Drosophila melanogaster: one gene and its partners. The protein of the gene in region 4 interacts with the protein of the main gene of each other region in a pairwise test. Each region holds a gene or a part of one and is shown on either strand. Other genes may lie near its edges.

Region 1 (3,481 bases), on a different chromosome or scaffold from region 4:
TCAGTAAACCGGTAAACTTCCGTTCATACAGTTCACAATTCTAAATTTAAAATAGATCTAACGCAGACACATTGACATTCGAAAATTGGGATTGAAAACTCAAGATGCCGACTACACCACAGGATCTTGCCCTTGCCCACTCTCTTGCTCAAAGACCTCCGACCGATAGCAGTGAGGCCAAGGAGCAGGAGGCCGGCGAATCGGACAACCTGCCCAACCTGTGCACTTTGTCGCTGGACGAACTGAAACAGCTGGACAGGGATCCCGAGTTCTTCGAGGACTTCATCGAGGAGATGTCCGTGGTGCAGTACCTGAACGAGGAGCTCGATTCAATGATGGACCAGGTGGAGATTATATCAAGTGAGTAGGTCACGGCCCGAGGCTGGCAAATCTACCTAACCCTTCTGTATTCCAATCCAGGAGAGAACGAGTGCAAGGGCATTCATCTGGTAGAGCTGAAGCGCCGACTCAGCGACGATTTTACAGCTTTAAAAAACCTAGGCGAGAAATGCGACCGGCTGAACAAGAAGTACTTCAAGAAGTCGGATGAATACGCGCCTCAGCATATCAGGGTGAGTTCCCTTAAAAAGCCAATGGCGTGGGAGTTACCATTCCCATCCGTAACTTGCATTCCATTTCCCCTGAAGGAGCTTCTTCAGATTGCAGCTTCCAATGCCGATGGCGACTGCGATCGTCACGTGGAGCACTTCCTGAACGGAAAGACCGACGTGCAGACTTTCCTCAACACGTACCAGTGGTCGAAGAAGATCAGTACCGAGCGCAAGGCCAAAGAGGAGCGCCTGGGCACCCAGCTCAGTGCTCTGGAGCGGGCCGGTATCTAGGATTGCCGTGACACTCCCTGGCCGTGCCATCCAGAGCACGGTCCTCCCACTCCTCGCACTCCTCCCACACCGCCACGATCCGCGTCGCAATAGTAGAGAATATCAATGTTAGTAAATAGAGAAGTTAAGCCAGAGATGGGGCGACATAATCATGGCACACACGGCCACGCATTCCCAGAACAGAAAGCAAAACCTTGTTGAAGTAATAAGAAGGTGCACTAGTTGTTCGTTTCCCAAGATCGTTTACTTGGGAAGAGGGTCTTGTTATTCTATCCGTACCCCGAAACGAAGCACTATGTGCAACAGAACGCAGTCCGGAATCGCATGTATTACCTATTTACTTTTTTTCCTTTTGGTTAATCGTGAGCCCCATCCATATATTCTCTCCATATATACATATATATTAAAAAAAAACTATGCTTTAAATGATGCCGTCTCTTTCTATTTAAGGGAAAGGTTTTTCAAAACAATGGTTTTTGGAATGATTTTTGTTTTGATTTGAATAAAATCGAACCGCAAAGGATAACACAACCTTATTAGTTTGAAATAATTTTATTATATTGAAGAATAATAATGCTTAATAACAGATATATAAAATTTCTTTTTTCAACAGTGGCTTGTGCTAGTATCTTAATTTAGTTTGCATAAGCTAAAAGCAATTAAACAAACATAACTACGTTTTCTCCATTATTATTCATATGTACATATATTACTAAGCATTCCAATTGTTAAAATCGAAAACAATCGAAAGTTTCGTTCTACATCATTCGTTCGAAATATGAATGATCCGGTTATCATGGTATTTTTTTGGTATTTTAGCTATATAGTTCGCCGATTTATCGGCCGTACCTCTTCCCCGATCTCGGCCAGAAGCGGACTGGGCCAGTTGGCTGATAGTGCTCGTTCGGCTGCCCCGCTGTCGCCCTTCCCCTCCTCCACCGAGGTCAAGTAATCTCGAGTGATAAGCGGCAGTGAACTCTCGTCTCTGCTTCTCCATTCCACAAGAAACTATAAATAACAGACTACCCACAAGAGACTAGTGCAATTGCAGCAATGGCCCAAACGGAAGTGCTGGTGTTCGGCTCGGCCATCATTGACTTTATAAGGTAGGTGGGCAGAGAAGGCTCGATCCCAAGGAGAATCTTACAAATACAACACCTTTTCCAGCTACACGACCCGTCTACCGAAAGCCGGAGAAACGCTCCATGGGCATCGCTTTCAGATTGGCTACGGCGGCAAGGGCGCCAATCAGTGTGTGGCTGCCGCGCGCCAGGGATCCCGAACAGCTCTGGTGGCCAAACTGGGGGCAGACACATTCGGCAGCGACTACCTGAGACATCTGCGCGAGGAGCGCGTCAATGTAAACCACGTCGAGCAGCTGGCGGAGGAAACGACGGGCGTGGCCCAGATAGCCGTGTCAGATGGCGGCGAGAACAACATCATCATTGTGGTGGGCGCCAACAATCGACTGAGCTCGTGTGACGTTTCCTCGGCGAAGGCGCTCTTCCAGGAAGCCAAAGTTCTGGTGTGCCAGCTGGAGACGCCCGTTGAGGCCACCCTGACCGCTCTGAGAGCCTTCCGGGGCGTGTCCATCGTCAATGCGGCTCCGGCCATGGCCGACACACCCCCCGAACTTCTTCAGTTGGCCAGCATCTTCTGTGTGAACGAAAGCGAGGCGGCACTGATGACTCAGATGCCCGACATTGGCAACATAGAGTAAGTGCGAGTAAGCGTAAACCAGTCGTACTGCCAACTAAATCGGGTCCCACTTCTGCCAGGCACGCCGAAGATGCGGTTGGAAAGCTGATAGCGGCAGGTGCCAACACGGTGATCATAACTCTGGGCAAACTAGGAGCCGTTTTCGGTTCCGCCGACTCCAAGGGCGTGTGCCAGCATGTGGCTGCGCCGAGTGTGCCGCCCGAAAAAGTGGTGGACACGACGGGGGCTGGAGACGCCTTCATTGGGGCCTTGGCCCACAACTTGGCCCGTCATCCAACGAGGAAACTGGAGGAGCACATAGCCGCCGCCTGTGCCGTGGCCTCGCAATCCGTTCAGCTACCCGGGACGCAGTCGAGCTTCCCACACGCTTAGAGGGAAATCCCCAAAAGAATGCAACGCAACAATAAATCTCTATCCTGACGTACAATGATCTATTTAATGGTAATCGTAAGTATAAAAAGATTATGGTCCACATGGGTGTGCTTCGGCTGGCAATTCAGCGTCCAGAATCCAGTGGGTTGCGGACTACAGATGGAGGCGTGGCAGCTTCACTTCTTTCCCGACTTCTTGATGCCGCCTCCTACGAGAGGACCCTTCTTTGAGGCGTTCGCCTTGGCCGCCTCCAGAGCCTTCTGCTGCTCCTTCTGCTTTTGCTTGAAGGCCATGTCGTCCTCGTCCAGGTCTTTGGAGTCCTTCTTCGGCGCCTTCAGAGGCTTCTTCTTACCGCCCTCGCGTCCAGACATACTTGCTCGCTTATACTGCGTGGGAGGAAAAATCTATGAAAATCGGGTTGGATTCCACAACAAAAAGTCACGCACCTTTTTCACACGTTTTTCCGATTTCCGCTGCACGATAACCACGAGAACAATCGATAGCTTCGCGCTTTCGATTGGCTGTGCGTGTTATCGGAACTGGACATA
Region 2 (7,686 bases), on a different chromosome or scaffold from region 4:
CCGGCTAATGAAAATCGGCAGTTCAGGATCGATGTATAAGGAATCCAGTCCAATTACATCTGGAGCTGCCAGTGGCGGCCAATTGTCGGGGGCCATTGAGCCAAGTCAATATTCGAAATTGTTTCAAATTGCTGCTCATTGTTTGTGGCACAAGGAGATCGGGAGTCGAACGCCTTTCGCTTTGAATGCTAAGTAACCAAATATTGAATTATAAGTGTAACTTGTTAATTAAGTTGTATATATTCCTGTATTATTGTTGTCAAAAAGCGCAACGCGTTGAACGTTTACTTGTGCCTAGCTGGATAAGCAATTTTTGTTATTCGTAGATATGGATTAAAAAATAAAAGGTTAAATAATATGGAAAGTTCAAAAAATCACCGATATCTTTTTTAAAATTGGGAAGATACTTAAATAATCAAACAGCACATTAAAAACCAATACACATGCGATACAATGAAACCAGTGATTCGGTTATTATTTTTATCACGATTTCCCACTGCTCTTAATTAAGGAAATATTTGTGTACCATATTTTAGGAATAACCGTCACTTCCTTCCACTTTCCGCTAGCGAAATCACACGCTTCACAGACGTCAAAACAAATGAATCTATCATGGAAAGGTCGCACGCCATCGGCGTTGTCATGAGAAGCAGACGTGGGGCAGCTGTTACGGATTCGCTGCCCCAAGTCCCCGCGATCTCCGATCTACAGCCACCCAACGATCCATACAATTCATGCAAACCACCTCATCACTCTTAATATTGTTAATGATACGACACGCAATACTCAAAACAGCGAAACAACTTGTTTCTGAGTGGCACTTGCGCCCGCCTGTGACATCACTAAGAAAATGTATAAAAAAATACAAATGGCGCATATAAATAAATATAGGCAAACAATAATTGCCTGCTGGGTCCCCCGATCAGATCCCCATGCTCATCATTCCACTTGCAGCTCATCAATCGCGCCCAGAAGTGCTCGGTGTTTATTTATAATTCTTATTTTTTTGTGTTGCCTCATCAGGGAATTCTTTTGATACAGTCTGTCCAGCAAAATCAATTGTATAAACAATAAAATGTGAACAATTTAACTGGTGAAATTCACAAATACAAATGACAATTATCGTTTTCCCGATGATCTGTATGAGATCATCATTATTTGCACTCTTAAACGTTTAATGGGTAGGAAAATAATTTACGTTCTGGCGTATAACTATTCTGATTTCTGATTTATAACTCCATTCGCAGAGTGCCGAAAACCGATAAAACGAAACAATAGGTAACCAGTTTCAATGCACCCGAAAGTTCAAGGCGATATCGAAATCGCTGATTATAGGTGGTAGTGGCCATAATAACAGTTATTGCCCGGCCATTAGCCAAAGCCTTCGTGGCCTAATTGATATGCAAATATGAAATCATAAACGATCCAACGGAATTATTGCCACGATGAAAGCAAAAGTGTTACGGACTTTGTTGAATTCTAATCCAATGCCAGACATCGGAATGGTTTCAAATTGTTTTTCATGTTTACAAACAAAATGCTCGACGCGTGGTCAGATTTAGCTTTTTTTGTATTGAAGAGCATTCGGCACAAAAAAAAGAGAACGATCGTCATGAGCTTTTGAAGCTGAAGCTTTTTCAGTCTTTGCAAATACTCAGCGGAATTTTAGCTCAGTCGAGTTTCGCGTTTGATTCGCTACGGATCGGTATCGTAATACTGTTACTGGCCATATATAGTACACGTTTTGCCATCGATATGCGTCGAATTCGGCGGTGGTTTAGTCTATAGTGAGCTGTGAAAAAAACCAAATCAACCAATATGGAGTTGTCATTGTTCACATTAAATTTGTTCGATGTGGTCTCGGTGGTGCTCACATTTCTTGTGATATTTCTAGTGCAAATTCTTAACGTTTACTTGCATATACTCGACGATAATGCCGATAATGGCAAATCGATCGATGTGGTGGACAAGGCACCAGCGAAAGAATGCCCGTTACTTGAGTCCCAGTCACCCAGTTCACCAATCGCCACCACTCTACCGAAATCCCAGGCATCGAGCAACGGCAAGTTGGAGAAGCAAATAAGTCTGCTGGACAGCGATAGGTAGGTATAAAACCCTCTGTTTACCTAACCTAATGTTTTGTTTGAACGTGTCCCACCATCTGACAGCTGTTTGCTGTTTTTTCATCGAATTTATTGTCCATTATTGAATGTACGACCTTTGGCTTGTTTTACACCACTTACTGTGCGTATACGTGATAAGATAACGTATACGCCCCGGTTATTTTTAAGCCTTTCCACGGTAATTGCTGTCGGGAGTGGTTGAGTTCATGACATGCATGATAAATATGTTAAAAGTTAATTCCCGCGACTGATTTCAGATAAGCAAAGTGTTTTTATTATTAAGGTTTTGGTTTTAGGCGCAGGAAGGAAGTTGTTAAAAGAAATTTCAGGCAATGAGAAATTTTACAGAGGAAGTGGAACACTAAAGCGATAAATGGTGTATTTTCTCTAATCTTGTTCTATAAACGATCTGCATTTTTTTGCAATAAAGTTGATAACTAATATCACTATGCATACATTATATAAAGTATTACTAGAAAATAACAACGGTCGCGGCTTAGTATCTGGAAGTTTTAAAGTTCTAGTACGTGTTTAGGAATATAATTAATGTTGTGCACATTTATCTTTTATATACCCACATCATTTTCAAGTGTTCCTCATTCACGGCTTGCTGTTCTTGTGTTTTCGTTACTGTTCTGTTTCCAGCGGCATCTCATTGAGTTCCATCAACACCTGTTCAACAACCGCAGCGAACTCATCCCCAACATACCGAGCACCCAATGGCTTCCACTCCTTCCCATCGCACACGCTCAGTTTCGAGACTCTGGGCGATGAGTAGTAAGTACAGCTGAGAGTGTCATAGCCATCCTAAATATCCGTTTATTGGTAATTGATTTGGCAACTAAGTAATGACCATCCACTTTGTCCAGCCACGAGGATGAGGACACATTGTCCTTGGAAAATCTGTTTCCCTGCGATCAAACCGAGATCTATGCCTCCAAGAAGATCAGCTTCATAATCGACGAGCTCATCCAGACGGAGGTGAACTATGTGAACAATCTGAAGAAGGGTATGCTAAACTATGGACAGCTGAAGGATGTCGAGGATTTGCCAGAAGCCCTGAGTGGCGAAACGAAACAAAAGATGCTGCTGGGAAACATTAAGGAAATACTGGAGCTGCATGAGAAGGAGATACTGCCGCTCATGTTGCGCAATCAGCGGGATCTCAAAGGTCTATTCGATGAGTTTGCTGCTCACTTCGAGGTGAGCTAAGGGGCATGTTTGTGGAGGGGATGCTGAGTGGGCTGGGTCCATTAGCCAAAGTCGTGTCGTTGAGCCAAGTAGCCGTTAGACAGGTTCCGACATCTCATCTATCAAAATTCTTTCGTCTTCCGTAGGCACTTGGGGTGCCTAATTTCAACCTCAAATATTTACACATAATGAAGTGGATAAGTCTTTTTTTAAACATTTATTTTTTGCCCGGACTTGACACCTGCATTTCGTGTCTCGTTTCTTTATTATCTTTTGCTTTGTTAAGCTTTTTTATTATTTTTATTATTTGAACGCCGAGTGATTCGTGTCTTAATGCAAATGAAGTCAATGTGGGTTATGCAAACTGTGCCAGAATCTCAATTGATGATTATAATTTAATTTTTAGTAATATATTTCTACTCACACCTCGCGACAACTGTGTCGCCAAATTCATTCATATGCCAGTGCGTGTGTCGTGCAAAATTAATAAACGATTTTCACAGAAAAAACAAATGTATATCCCAGATCACTTGCAGAATGACGAATGGGTTGGCTTAGTAAAGTCCCCTGATAAGATTGAAGTAATCAGCAGAACGCCGTAATAAAATACGAAAATACACAACACACAGCCACAAAAGCTCACACTCAGTTACGAAAATCAGTTGAAAATTGTTAGGGCAAACAGACTCTATATTGTATTTTTTTTTTCTGGGCTGGGGTTCCATTTGCCGGCAGCTGACGTCATCGGTTCTCGGTGAGGAGAGTCGACAATTGCTGTCCGGGGCTTGGCGTTTCAGCATATTCAGATATACATAGCTATAGAAATCCCCAAATCATCTCGTTAAAAGTACTCATTTCGGAATGATTTTTCGGGCCTCTAGAGAGCGGCCATGTGGCCATGTTGAGCTGAGTGTTGACAACGCAAATGATCAATTTAAATTGAAATGGAAATTGTCTGAGGCATTGTGGAATTCTTGTTCGGTCGCAATTCTCTTATGTCATACCCGAGTTCCCAGAAAACCCGAATATAAATTAAGCAAGGAGTTACAGTAAGCTTATTAACTGATCCAAAAGCAGGTAACATTCTTGTTGAGCACCCCGAGGATTTGGCATCTTAAGAACTTAATGTTCGACAGACATGCTAAGCCCCTGGGATGTGATTTATGCTCTTGTTTGCACTTTTTTTGTTCCTTTTACCCGCAACCACTTTGCATTCATTTTTTTTTTAATTTGGCCAAACCAAAACAAACATATCTGACTCACAGGACCAGAGCCAAGCGAATATTTTGCTAAATATATCATAAAAACTGCTCAAGATTTGTTTATACATATTTTCTAAAAATTTTACGTTTCCCTGCTCAAATTTGGCAGCATGCTGCATAAACAAAAGAGGCGAAGCCAAAACGTTGATAAATATAAACTTGTGCTATGAATTTCCTCTTGACTCGTCGTCATTTGCAAATTAATGAGGCTTTTCACAAGCAATTGCCAAATCGATTAGTTCTAGCCTGGAGAGGCCTAGAATTGATGAATGCTAGATCTTGGCCAGCCGGAGATTCGGAATCAGTTTTTGGTCTCGAAAGACAGAAGTTTCCATAAATAGAGTCGCCTTCATTTATTAATCGGCTTTAAATTGCCAAAAACATCAAGTGACAAGCGTGTCGATCAGACTTCTCACAATCAAATCGAATCAGCCACCAGCGGAAAATCAATTAAAAGTTTTACCACATTCGGATGGATGCTTTTGAGTGGTTGAAGGAAAGGGGTTGGGGAATTCTGAGATTGATGCAATCGATTTGGCGATCCAAATTGTTTTAGATGTTTGCTGCGAAATAAACAAAAGAAGATTATATTGATGGGGAAGCCGCTGTAGCTATAAATTCTATTTATACAGCTGCGTGTTAAGAGAACAATAAAAATACTTCAAAAACTAATTTCTTGCTTGCAAACTCATTGAACAACATGAAGAAAACAGATTTATGCTATTATTGTTAGGTATTATATCTGTTACATGGTTAACTATTTGATGAGCGCCAAAAACCATTAACCATAGCTGACATCTAGTTTTGATTTATATTGTACAACAGCGTGTGAGATATATATAAAAAGCAACCACATTTTTCTTTAGACAGTCCGAATTACTACATTAGGAGGAATGCACTGTAGCTAGCAATTTCATGCTAATAAAATTCACGCCCACCAAAGACAAATTTGCAATATGCAAAAATATATATGTGTGTATATATATATATTGTCACCTTTCGCCCGCCAGACGAGGCGGCAATTGTTTAAGGCAGTCATTTGTCCAGCTAAATCGCATTAGACATGCAAAATGGAAAGGGAAATATTATGGATAAGTCCGCAGAGAGATGATTATCATATCATCTAAATGCAGAACTTCGAGCTCTGATTCTGATGCTGCAGTCGGGCGGAGCTAATGAAATTAAAATGGAAAGGAAATCGTTAGACAGACAATTTTCTTTGCAGTTTGCACTAGTTTCGGTTTTTTTTTTTTTGGGAAAATATTTGCATTGGCATTGGCCACAGATAGCGACAGGAATTCCAAATTTTCACTCTGGCTTTGCCAAGGCCTTACCACTTGGCCCGCTCTACAAGTCCGGAGTTACGTGACTTAAATGCTTAAGAAATTATGATTTCGCCAACAGGCAAACTGGCATGTGTGTGTATATAGTACAATATACACATATGTATATATCAAACGATGTGCCAAGTGCGAGAATAAAGCACATGGCCCAGACACAAAGGTTTTCCCAGTTTCGACGAGGTTAAGATGGGTTATGATACGGTTTGCTGTTTATTACCTTACAGAAAAATAGCTTCTATTGCTATGTGAGCTTCACTATGGGGAAGAAGTCTTCTATGCAACTGCGACAGGATAATCGGCTGTGGTTGCAGGTGAGTTACCCAGTCAAGCGCTATCCTTAATCTAAAATGTTAATATTTCAAATACCTTTTTAGACATATCAAACCCAAATAAAAGACAAGCTGGGCATCGACAGCTTCCTAGTTCAGCCCATCCAAAGACTGACCAGATATCCATTGCTCCTGCAGCAGTTCATATCGGTAAGTGACTAGATTTTGCATAGCTTTCCTTTACTAACTAATCTTAACGATTTCAGGAATTCTACAAAAGTGGAATTAGTTGCAAGCCAGTGCTGACTGCAGTTTGCAAACTCGAGACGCGCATGCGACGCGCTCTGGATGTGGTCAATCAGGCCGAGGAGATACCCAACATCGAGGAGCTCAACGAGGTGCGTCATGAGCGTCTATGGGATATGGAATTGGCCACTAATTCTAGTTTTTCATCTTCCCCAGTTGGACGTCCTGCAGCTGGGAAACTTCCGCCGTGCGACGGAATTCGACGCCCAGCACTTTCCCACCCGGAAAAAGTACCGCTCCAAGGTGTTCCTGTTCGATCGCTGTTTGGTGTGCACGGAGGTGCGAAAGAAGCGGCTGGCCTACCGGCAGCACTACAACTGGGAGCACGTGGAGCTGCAGAGGCCACTGGACTCGGTCTCGTCCAATGCCAACAAGATCATTAACCTGCTAGTGAAACAGGAGGAGGGCGGATCTAGTGTCGGCTCCAAGCGGGAGGAGTACTCCTTTATGGCTGCGGAGGCGTCGGTGGTGAAGCAGTGGCTCCAGGCCACCCACAAGATCATCGAGATCGCACGCAATGAGCACGCCAGGCGGAACACCTTTAGCCTGCCCATGGACCTGGTCCTCGGCGTGGTGCTGGCCATCTGGCTGATCTGGCAGTACTTGTAAATAGTTCCCACCTCAATGCAACAACCATGTCCACATGCCCATCTAGATCGTAGATATCTAAGAATAAAGCTAAGTTATTTCGTAGTCCTGTTCTGTGTCGTCCTCGCTGTTTGTCCAAGCGTAAAATAAGCTTGCTGCAGTCGCCTGACAAATATTCATGATAAATTGCCTTTGCAGTGGCCAAGTCCCGTCTTGTCGTTGTCCTTGCTGCAAAATGTAAATAGCTCTTCATCTCCTTTGGCCGGCACACACAAGGCAATCCCAATTCCCGTGCAGTGTGTGTGTGTGTGTGACAGCCACCGAAAAATTTATGACAAATCTTTTTATTTAGAATTTATGATGGCCCAATGCAGGAAGCCACCCAAAAAGAAGCCAAGTCACGGCGTACGGAAATCTAATGAACCGCATCCAAGGATGTGAATATGAACTGCTCAAGATGCTGATGGCTTCTGGGAGTGTGTTAAAAGCTAGTTTGTTTGGCATCAGCATGCAAAAGGTCGAAACAAGATTTAAAATCCGATTTAACATATTCATTTTTAGCCAAAACCTAAAACCGGTTAATGTGTTTATCCTAAGCTTAGCT
Region 3 (4,298 bases), on a different chromosome or scaffold from region 4:
TGCAGCCCCCGCTGCTTTTGGCCATTTCAAGTCGGTGACATTGCAACAGATACTTCTGCTCTGCCTCAAGTTTGGCTTCCTGCCACCCAAGCGCCATGCCAGCCACGCCCACCCGCATCGCACGTAATGCCCAAATGGAGCCAAGCCCGCCCACTTTTAAGTCACAGCTCTGGACAAAGTTTTGCGTGCTGTGAAAAAATAATAATAAAGGACGAGCAGGACTACAAAACAGTTCGCAGGAAAGAAAAGCCAAGTCACAGGACAGACGCATCTCGGTGGGCAGGAAAACTTCCGTTTCGAGTTGTGGCCTGGAAATTGGTAACTGCAATCAAGTGGAAGGATCCAATGGAATACGGTCGTGGGTTCCGAAAGCCGGCCAATAAATATGAAATTAATCTGGCTGTGTATTAGCAGGAAATAGCATGCAAACGTGAATTGAAAAAGGATGAAAAATGTGTCGTTACTTTCAGGGCAATTTGTACATTTTAGGGCTCATTAGAATGTGCTTTATATTTCTTTTCTTTTTTTTGTATATTGGTAAATATTTTGCTGACTTTTAAAGAGGTAGCACAAGTGGCGTATCCCCGAAGTATTTAAAATTATTGTTGCTGTTGACCATGCAGCTGCAACATTTCAAATTTCGTATCCTGCGTGCGGACATATCGCCCCGGTTTTCCCCATTTTCCCAGACAGATTTTCATAGCTGGCACAGTTTGAGCCTTGACTATTTTGCATTTATGCAAAAGGCAGCAGACAAAAAGAAGATTCTAATAGAGCACAGCGTGCTGTGGACCAAGAAGAAGCAGAATAGCCGAAGGAGAAGGCGCCATCTGCCACGCCCACTGGGCAAAAAGTTGCAACTTTGGTGCTGCGTGCGGTTTTTGCTGTGACATTTTCGTAGATTTCGCTGTGAGTCTGCGGGGGAAAAGTGCAGAGGATGGAAAGTGGAAAATAGTCCAGAATTGTACGTGAAATAAATTTTAGCGAATTTATTTTGACTGAACGCAGTAATATTCGTTCTTGGCTAAAAGCGAAAGTCGAATTAATAGTAAAGCTGACTCTTAAACCTAAAAACCGCAGCATTATCTTTAAATGGTAAGTGCATTGATTCGTCTGGGTTTTGCATCCAATCCGGGTTTTCTCCAGAAGTCTCCTGCGGTAAGATGCCGTCTTGGGAAAACCAGAATAAGAGATTCCCAGGCAGCTATCACTAATTCATGATCACCAATTAATCTATTCGGAACAGTTATCAAACCTGATTTAGCAGCCAATATATTTAGTCTATAATTCAATAAATCAATATGCATTTAAATATGATTTTTCTTTTTTCCTTTGTTTTTCATTAAACCTCATATGTTTGCACAGCAAGAGAAATAGAATTTATCAAAGAAACTATGCAAAAATATTTATTTGCTATGTATATGCAATTACAATTAAATAATTAAAGCAAGTGTATAAACAAATCAATAGCACCAATGCAAAGACATTCTTCTTTTCATCTCGATCTTGAAATATTTATATTTAGGTATTTTCATTAAACCGTCTTATCAGCTACTGTACTGCACTTTTTTTTTTTTAATAAACACAAAGAGAATCGGTCATTTTGCAATTACAAATACGAATGCTCACACTTCCCTTCGTTACGACCTGATAACTGAAAAAAGAAAAATGTGCAACGAAAAGCAGTGGATTTTTGCGGTGCGAATTAAATGGCACACGTATGAGAATATAATTACGAGTATATTATTAAATTTATTGAGCGACTGGAAGCGCGATTGGAAGGCGGCAACGGGTTTTCCCGCCCAGCCGCAATCAATGAGAATCGATCCGATCGTAGCTAATCAACGCAGCGTCGGCGATGGAAAAGGCAAATCAAAAGCCAATCTCTGAGATTCAAAAAGCTTCCGAGGGTCGCGGCTTGAGGTTGCCGATCGCCAGTAGATCAGTAGTTGATTGCCAGCCACCGGGGACGCAGCTTTGCTAGCGACTCGAGAATCAATCGGAGCGGAAAATAGGAAAATAGAAAATTGATAGGAATTAGAAAATAGGAAAACCTCGCAAAATGCTCCTGCTGATACCGCTTTTCCTGACCCTTTTGGGGGCTGAGGCCCAGCAATTTGGCAGTGAGTTTTACTCAAGACCACCGCTCCTTCGAGATTTCCTAACCCATTTTCAATCCTTTAGAAGCTATCATGCATTTTGGCAACTGCAACTCGGTGGAATTCGGTAGGGGCACCTGTATCGAGAAGAAGGACTGCGACTTTTATGCCGTAGATAAACTTATGGAATTGGCCAGCAAACAACAGTGCTTCTCCCGCCAGCGACCCGATCTGGTAAGTGGTATTATATACTATATATATGTATATATTCGCCCGATGTTCAGCAAACACGTTTCCCACCATCAACCAGTTTTCCACGCTCCGTGGAGATCTTCTTCACCTGAATAATGCTATTTATTAGCATTAACAGCTATTTTAACAGTTTATTTACGTCTTACTTTGCGATTTGTACATAATTGATTGTAATACATTTTTTGATTTAAACGGAAATTAGAGAGCTATTAAAAAAACTAAAACGGCTGATATACCCATAGTAAAACAACCCAATCTTCACTTGAGCTTATAGTTTTTATTTTCCAAAAATGTTTATATATACAATGCACCATAATATATATATATCTTATTTATTTCCCATTAGGTTTGCTGCCCCCGCGAGACGAATATTATACCGCCATTGGCACCCAGGATCAGTAATGGGACCACTAATGCCACGAGCAGCACCACAACGCTGAAACTGCTGCCTCGCACCACGCCACGCCCACCCAGCGGTATCGACCAACTGCCCGAGCATCCGTACTGCGGCTCCGCCTTTTCGTTTCGCTTGGTCGGTGGTCATAATACCGGACTCTTCGAGTTCCCGTGGACCACTCTGCTGGAGTACGAGACAGTGAGCGGTGGCAAGGACTATGCGTGCGGCGCATCCTTTATCGCCCAGAGATGGCTCTTAACGGCCGCCCACTGCATTCACACAATGGGCAGGAATCTCACCGCAGCCATTTTGGGTGAATGGAATCGGGACACCGATCCGGATTGCGAGAATGATTTGAATGGCGTACGCGAATGTGCTCCGCCGCATATCCGGGTGACCATCGATCGAATATTGCCGCATGCGCAGTACTCGGAATTGAACTATAGAAACGATATAGCCCTGCTGCGTTTATCACGTCCGGTGAACTGGCTGCAGATGCAGAATCTGGAGCCCGTCTGTTTGCCACCGCAGAGGGGCAGGTATGCCAATCAGCTGGCCGGCTCAGCCGCCGATGTTTCCGGCTGGGGCAAGACCGAGTCCAGCGGCAGCAGCAAGATCAAGCAAAAGGCGATGCTGCACATCCAGCCGCAGGATCAGTGCCAGGAGGCGTTTTACAAGGACACCAAGATTACGCTCGCCGATAGTCAGATGTGTGCCGGCGGCGAGATTGGCGTTGATTCCTGCAGTGGCGACTCCGGCGGACCACTGACCGTAGAGGCAAACACGGCGAGCGGCAATCGATATGTCTATCTGGCCGGCGTGGTCTCCATTGGACGGAAACACTGTGGCACAGCGTTGTTTTCCGGAATTTACACCCGGGTCAGCAGCTACATGGACTGGATAGAAAGCACCATTCGAGCCAATCGCATTTAAGCGACTCTCGACTTTCGTTTCCGTTTTCGGCTATTTTTGGGCACCCATAACGCAAAGTCAAGCTCATTGTGACCTTCAATGACATTAAAAGCAATTTTTTTGAAATACATACAATATTTATTATATGTTTTTTTTTTTACATGAAGCGCAGTGACTTTTTTTATTTGTGTTTTCAACTAACGAAAAAAATCCCATATTGTTCAAAGCATTCCAAATCCCTTGTACAAATGTGCAGACAGTGTATTTGACGTTCGGGAGCATATGACTTATTGGCAACGGTGCGTATGAAATGCTTAAGCAGCTACCACAGGGGTTTCCCCCAGGAAGGTTTTCCCTCTCTTTTTATTTGTCTCGTTTTGCGGATCGTCATATCACTGACGTCACTGATTTCCGGCGTGCAATTTACTAAACATGTCAACCTATCGCCTACAATCTCGATTTGGGTCTAGATTAAACTGTTTGCCCATGACACGGAAACGCTTAAAATGATGATGATGTTGGTGATGTACGCCCAGTAACTGCAGATTGCTCTGATTTTTAGCGAAAATATACTGGTGACATATGAAGTGTACTTTGAAAGCGGTCGGATTTTCTTTTACAACCAACTATTACTAATT
Region 4 (3,991 bases):
AATGCCCAACATCCTGAAATGGAAATCTATACTCCCCAGTTATGGTGCCACTTCCATGAGCCGAAGAGGGTGGAATATGCGTGCCGCAAGACTCTGCAGAACTTTGGTCTGCAGTACGTGGATCTCTACCTGATGCACTGGCCCTACTCCTACGTCTACCGCGGCGACAACGAGATGATGCCCACCGATGCCAAGGGGGAGGTGGAACTCAAGTGAGTTTTTAATTTAGTCAATTACTTTTCTAATGCGGGTGTGCTTCGTTTGTATTTGCTTGACTCTTAATGACCAAATTTGTGCTATTACAGCGATATCGATTACCTAGACACCTGGCGCGAAATGGAGAAGCTCGTGGAACTGGGCCTGACCAAGAGCATCGGCGTATCCAATTTCAACTCGGAACAGTTGACTCGCTTGCTGGCCAACTGCAAGATCAAGCCAATCCACAATCAGGTGCGTCAATTGTGGTTATGCCTTGGGTTTCATATTCCTAATAGACCATTTTCCAGATCGAATGTCATCCCGCGTTGAACCAGAAGAAATTGATTGCTCTGTGCAAGAAGAATGACATTGTAGTGACCGCCTACTGTCCCCTGGGCAGACCCAATCCAGCAGAAAAGACGCCCAACTACATCTATGATGCCAAGGTGCAGGCAATTGGAGACAAGTACAAGAAGTCCACCGCCCAAGTGGTGCTCCGATATCTGGTAGGGATTACGAACTAGGTTTAATGAGAACAAAAACTCTTTATTAACATAATGTTTATCGAAATAGATTGAGATTGGAACCATCCCATTGCCAAAGTCCTCAAATCCCAAGCGCATCGAGGAGAACTTCCAGATCTTCGACTTCCAGCTGGATGCTGAGGATCATGCCATTCTGGATTCCTACAACACCGGAGAACGTCTGATTCCCATGACCCACGCCATCAAAAGCAAGAACTATCCATTTAACATCGAGTTTTGAGCTGGAAAGCAGGAGCAATGTTTGATATTAATTAAAGTGGTTGTTAAATCTGATATTTTGTGTACATATACATATGTTTTTTAAAAATAAACACCAATAATAATTATTTTTGAGATCTTTTTTCATGTTGAAATATTTATGTTTATTTTGGAGATTTTTATATAACAAGCACACTTATTTTTTTTTTTTTACATAATATCGCATTAGTTTTACTTTTAAGCATTTTGATAGTACGTAATTCTTCTATTTTAGTCTTATCACTTGAACTGTTTCTTATTTGCAGTCAAGGGTGTGGCAAATATTTTAAAGGGGCATAAAATATAATAAACATTTGAAGTCATCTATGAAAACAATACGAATTCATTTTGTGATTATATACATATAATCTTAATTAAACAATACCCTTTTTTGGACACCACTGCTGAACATTTAATGATTTGAGAGAGAGCTTTTGCTCGATCATTTAGTTTTTAGTGTGGGCTTGGCATGGAAAATTCCACTTAATCAAAATCATTTGGTCTAGTACAATTTCGCCAACACTTGTCTGAATTCAATTATTCACAACTGCAAGGCAGATTGCAAAAATGAAAAGCTATAAAAGGGAAGAGAATATAAACAAACCCACATGTAATAGGTAAATAAACAAAACTAGCGATAAAGTTAACCGAATCAGCTTTGCGCGCCACTCAACTATCAAGCTATCGATAAGTGTTTTTCAAAAGTGTTCCCACATATTTTTAAATGGGATTTTACACATGATTTGGTTTGGATCATTTATAAAAAATATGTGTTTAATTTATCCTTATTAAAACATTAAAATAATGCATTTAATATATTGGTTAGCACACTTAGAACCTACGCTCCTTGCGTCTCTATAAACTATTTCCAAGTTTCTCTGCCAGCTTGGCCGTGTTTTATCTGCAAATGCAAAAGGTCTTTTGAAGGTTCTATGGGCCCATTCGAAAACCTTATAACAGAGGTGAAGCGAGCAACCCAAGCATTCAGTGTTCAACTTTGTAACCGCGAAGATGACCGGGAAAGTGGAGTACTACTTCAAGCACAACGACGGAACCCATATCCAGGGAATCGGACTGGGCACCTTCGCGGTATGACATTGACTGGTTGATCATAGCATATCCGATACGGATCAGGAATGTCGCCTATCAGTAGCCGGGTTAACGTCATTTGAAGAACCGCTAACGTTATTGATGACTTGTGATTTCAGTCGACGGAAGGCGATTGCGAACGGGCAGTTCTCCACGCGATTGATGTGGGCTACCGGCACATAGACACCGCCTACTTCTACGGAAATGAGGCCGAAGTGGGTGCGGCGGTTCGGAAGAAGATTGCCGAAGGCGTCATCAAGCGGGAGGACATATTCATCACCACCAAGGTCAGTTGGCAAGTTCTTATAGCAGGCATATCATAAACTAATCCTTAAGTGGCCACATATTTCCGCAGCTCTGGTGCAATTTCCATGAACCGGAAAGGGTGGAGTATGCCTGCCGAAAGACCTTGAAGAATATTGGCCTGGATTATGTTGACCTCTATCTGATTCACTGGCCTTTCTCCTATAAATATCGCGGTGATAACGAACTGATTCCCAAAGATGCCAATGGAGAGGTGGAACTTGTGTGAGTAAAATGAATAATATATGAAATATTTCGAATCGATTGGCACTTACAAGTGATTGTGAAATGCGCCTTCTATTATCAGTAATCTTACTATGCCGTTTACTTGCTTCAAACTACAGAGACATTGATTACCTGGACACTTGGGGCGCCATGGAGAAGTTGGTTGACCTGGGCCTGACCAAGAGCATCGGAGTGTCCAATTTCAACGAGGAGCAACTGACGCGCCTGTTGGCCAACTGCAAGATCAAGCCAATCCACAATCAAGTAACTTAGTCACAGGATGTTCCCTCCAGTTTCTCAACTCATATTGTTCTTTCTGCAGATTGAGGTACACCCCGCGTTGGATCAGAAGAAACTGATTGCCCTGTGCAAGAAGAATGGAATCCTGGTGACCGCCTTCAGTCCACTGGGCAGGCACAATGCCGAGTTGAGGACGCCCACCTTTATGTACGATGGCAAGGTTCAGGCCATCGCAGACAAGTACAATAAGTCCATTGCCCAAGTGGTGATCCGATATGTGGTAAGGATTTTCGATTTAGGCCTTATGTTGAACCGGATTTCTCATGATGAATTCTAATTTCAGATTGAGCTGGGAACCATCCCGCTGCCCAAGTCCTCCAATCCCAAGCGCATTGAGGAGAACTTCAATGTCTTCGATTTCAAGCTGGATGCTGAAGATCATGCCATCTTGGACTCGTATCACAATGGAGAACGTGTTGCCCATGCCCGACAAGCCATCAAGAGTAAATACTATCCCTTCAACGTGTATAGTGCTTGTTTTTGATACAACAAATATATTTAAGTTATTATGATTAATAAATAAATAGTAACCCTTGTAAGGGAATGCCCAAAAGCAAGAAGATTTCTAACGTCATTTACAATCGGTAAGTATTTTTCGTAAGTGTTTTGTATATGTCTTTTTTGGCCTTATCATCACAAGTACTTCCCATTGATATTCACATGGATTGGTTAATAAATCAAACAGCGCGGCACTTTTTTGTTCCAGTCATTCAGTTTTTTCTTAGAGAATGTATATATTTCTTAATGCAAAAATTTAAAAACTGATATACTTTTACAACAAAAGTGAAAACTTTTATTTTTGATTGTATTTAAATCGAAGTTGTACCCGTATCATAATGCACAATAGAACAGATAATAGAAAATAGGGTAGCGGATCCATTATGAAAGTCAAGTTCTCGATAAGAAAAATATAAGAAGTCGATTGTTTTACCCAGCTAGCTGTGAAAATAGGAAATAATATGTTTGTATTAAAATCTACCAATGTAAATAACATTAAAAGCTTTTTCTCTGCTGCATTTAAAATAAAATTGAAATGATCAATGTCATGAATAGAAAAATGTTACAGCGAATATTTTAAATTTCAATCTCGCGGT

Evidence for each region.
Region 1: the proteins of CG12766 (region 4) and CG13369 interact in a two-hybrid assay, tested with the Drosophila melanogaster proteins (one large-scale study listed by BioGRID).
Region 2: the proteins of CG12766 (region 4) and CG15611 interact in a two-hybrid assay, tested with the Drosophila melanogaster proteins (one large-scale study listed by BioGRID).
Region 3: the proteins of CG12766 (region 4) and Ser7 interact in a two-hybrid assay, tested with the Drosophila melanogaster proteins (one large-scale study listed by BioGRID).

The regions. Positions count from the first base shown.
Region 1 is NC_004354.4:621,787-625,267, forward strand, and holds CG13369 (uncharacterized protein), read left to right. Parts: upstream 1-1,681; 5' UTR 1,682-1,895; coding exon 1,896-1,948; intron 1,949-2,009; coding exon 2,010-2,558; intron 2,559-2,620; coding exon 2,621-2,933; 3' UTR 2,934-2,979; downstream 2,980-3,481. Other genes in the region: Vsp37A (vacuolar protein sorting 37A), read left to right, coding at 105-360, 421-572, 648-842; CG13364 (uncharacterized protein), read right to left, coding at 3,110-3,304.
Region 2 is NT_033778.4:17,107,175-17,114,860, forward strand, and holds CG15611 (uncharacterized protein), read left to right. Parts: upstream 1-1,669; 5' UTR 1,670-1,818; coding exon 1,819-2,102; intron 2,103-2,768; coding exon 2,769-2,900; intron 2,901-2,992; coding exon 2,993-3,326; intron 3,327-6,143; coding exon 6,144-6,230; intron 6,231-6,293; coding exon 6,294-6,398; intron 6,399-6,454; coding exon 6,455-6,586; intron 6,587-6,650; coding exon 6,651-7,103; 3' UTR 7,104-7,186; downstream 7,187-7,686.
Region 3 is NC_004354.4:9,863,275-9,867,572, forward strand, and holds Ser7 (Ser7), read left to right. Parts: upstream 1-1,958; 5' UTR 1,959-2,062; coding exon 2,063-2,123; intron 2,124-2,184; coding exon 2,185-2,333; intron 2,334-2,697; coding exon 2,698-3,681; 3' UTR 3,682-3,796; downstream 3,797-4,298.
Region 4 is NT_037436.4:3,938,085-3,942,075, reverse strand, and holds CG12766 (uncharacterized protein), read left to right. Parts: upstream 1-1,950; 5' UTR 1,951-1,991; coding exon 1,992-2,069; intron 2,070-2,188; coding exon 2,189-2,356; intron 2,357-2,424; coding exon 2,425-2,597; intron 2,598-2,716; coding exon 2,717-2,861; intron 2,862-2,919; coding exon 2,920-3,117; intron 3,118-3,180; coding exon 3,181-3,381; 3' UTR 3,382-3,452; downstream 3,453-3,991. Other genes in the region: CG10863 (uncharacterized protein), read left to right, coding at 40-212, 306-450, 507-704, 772-963.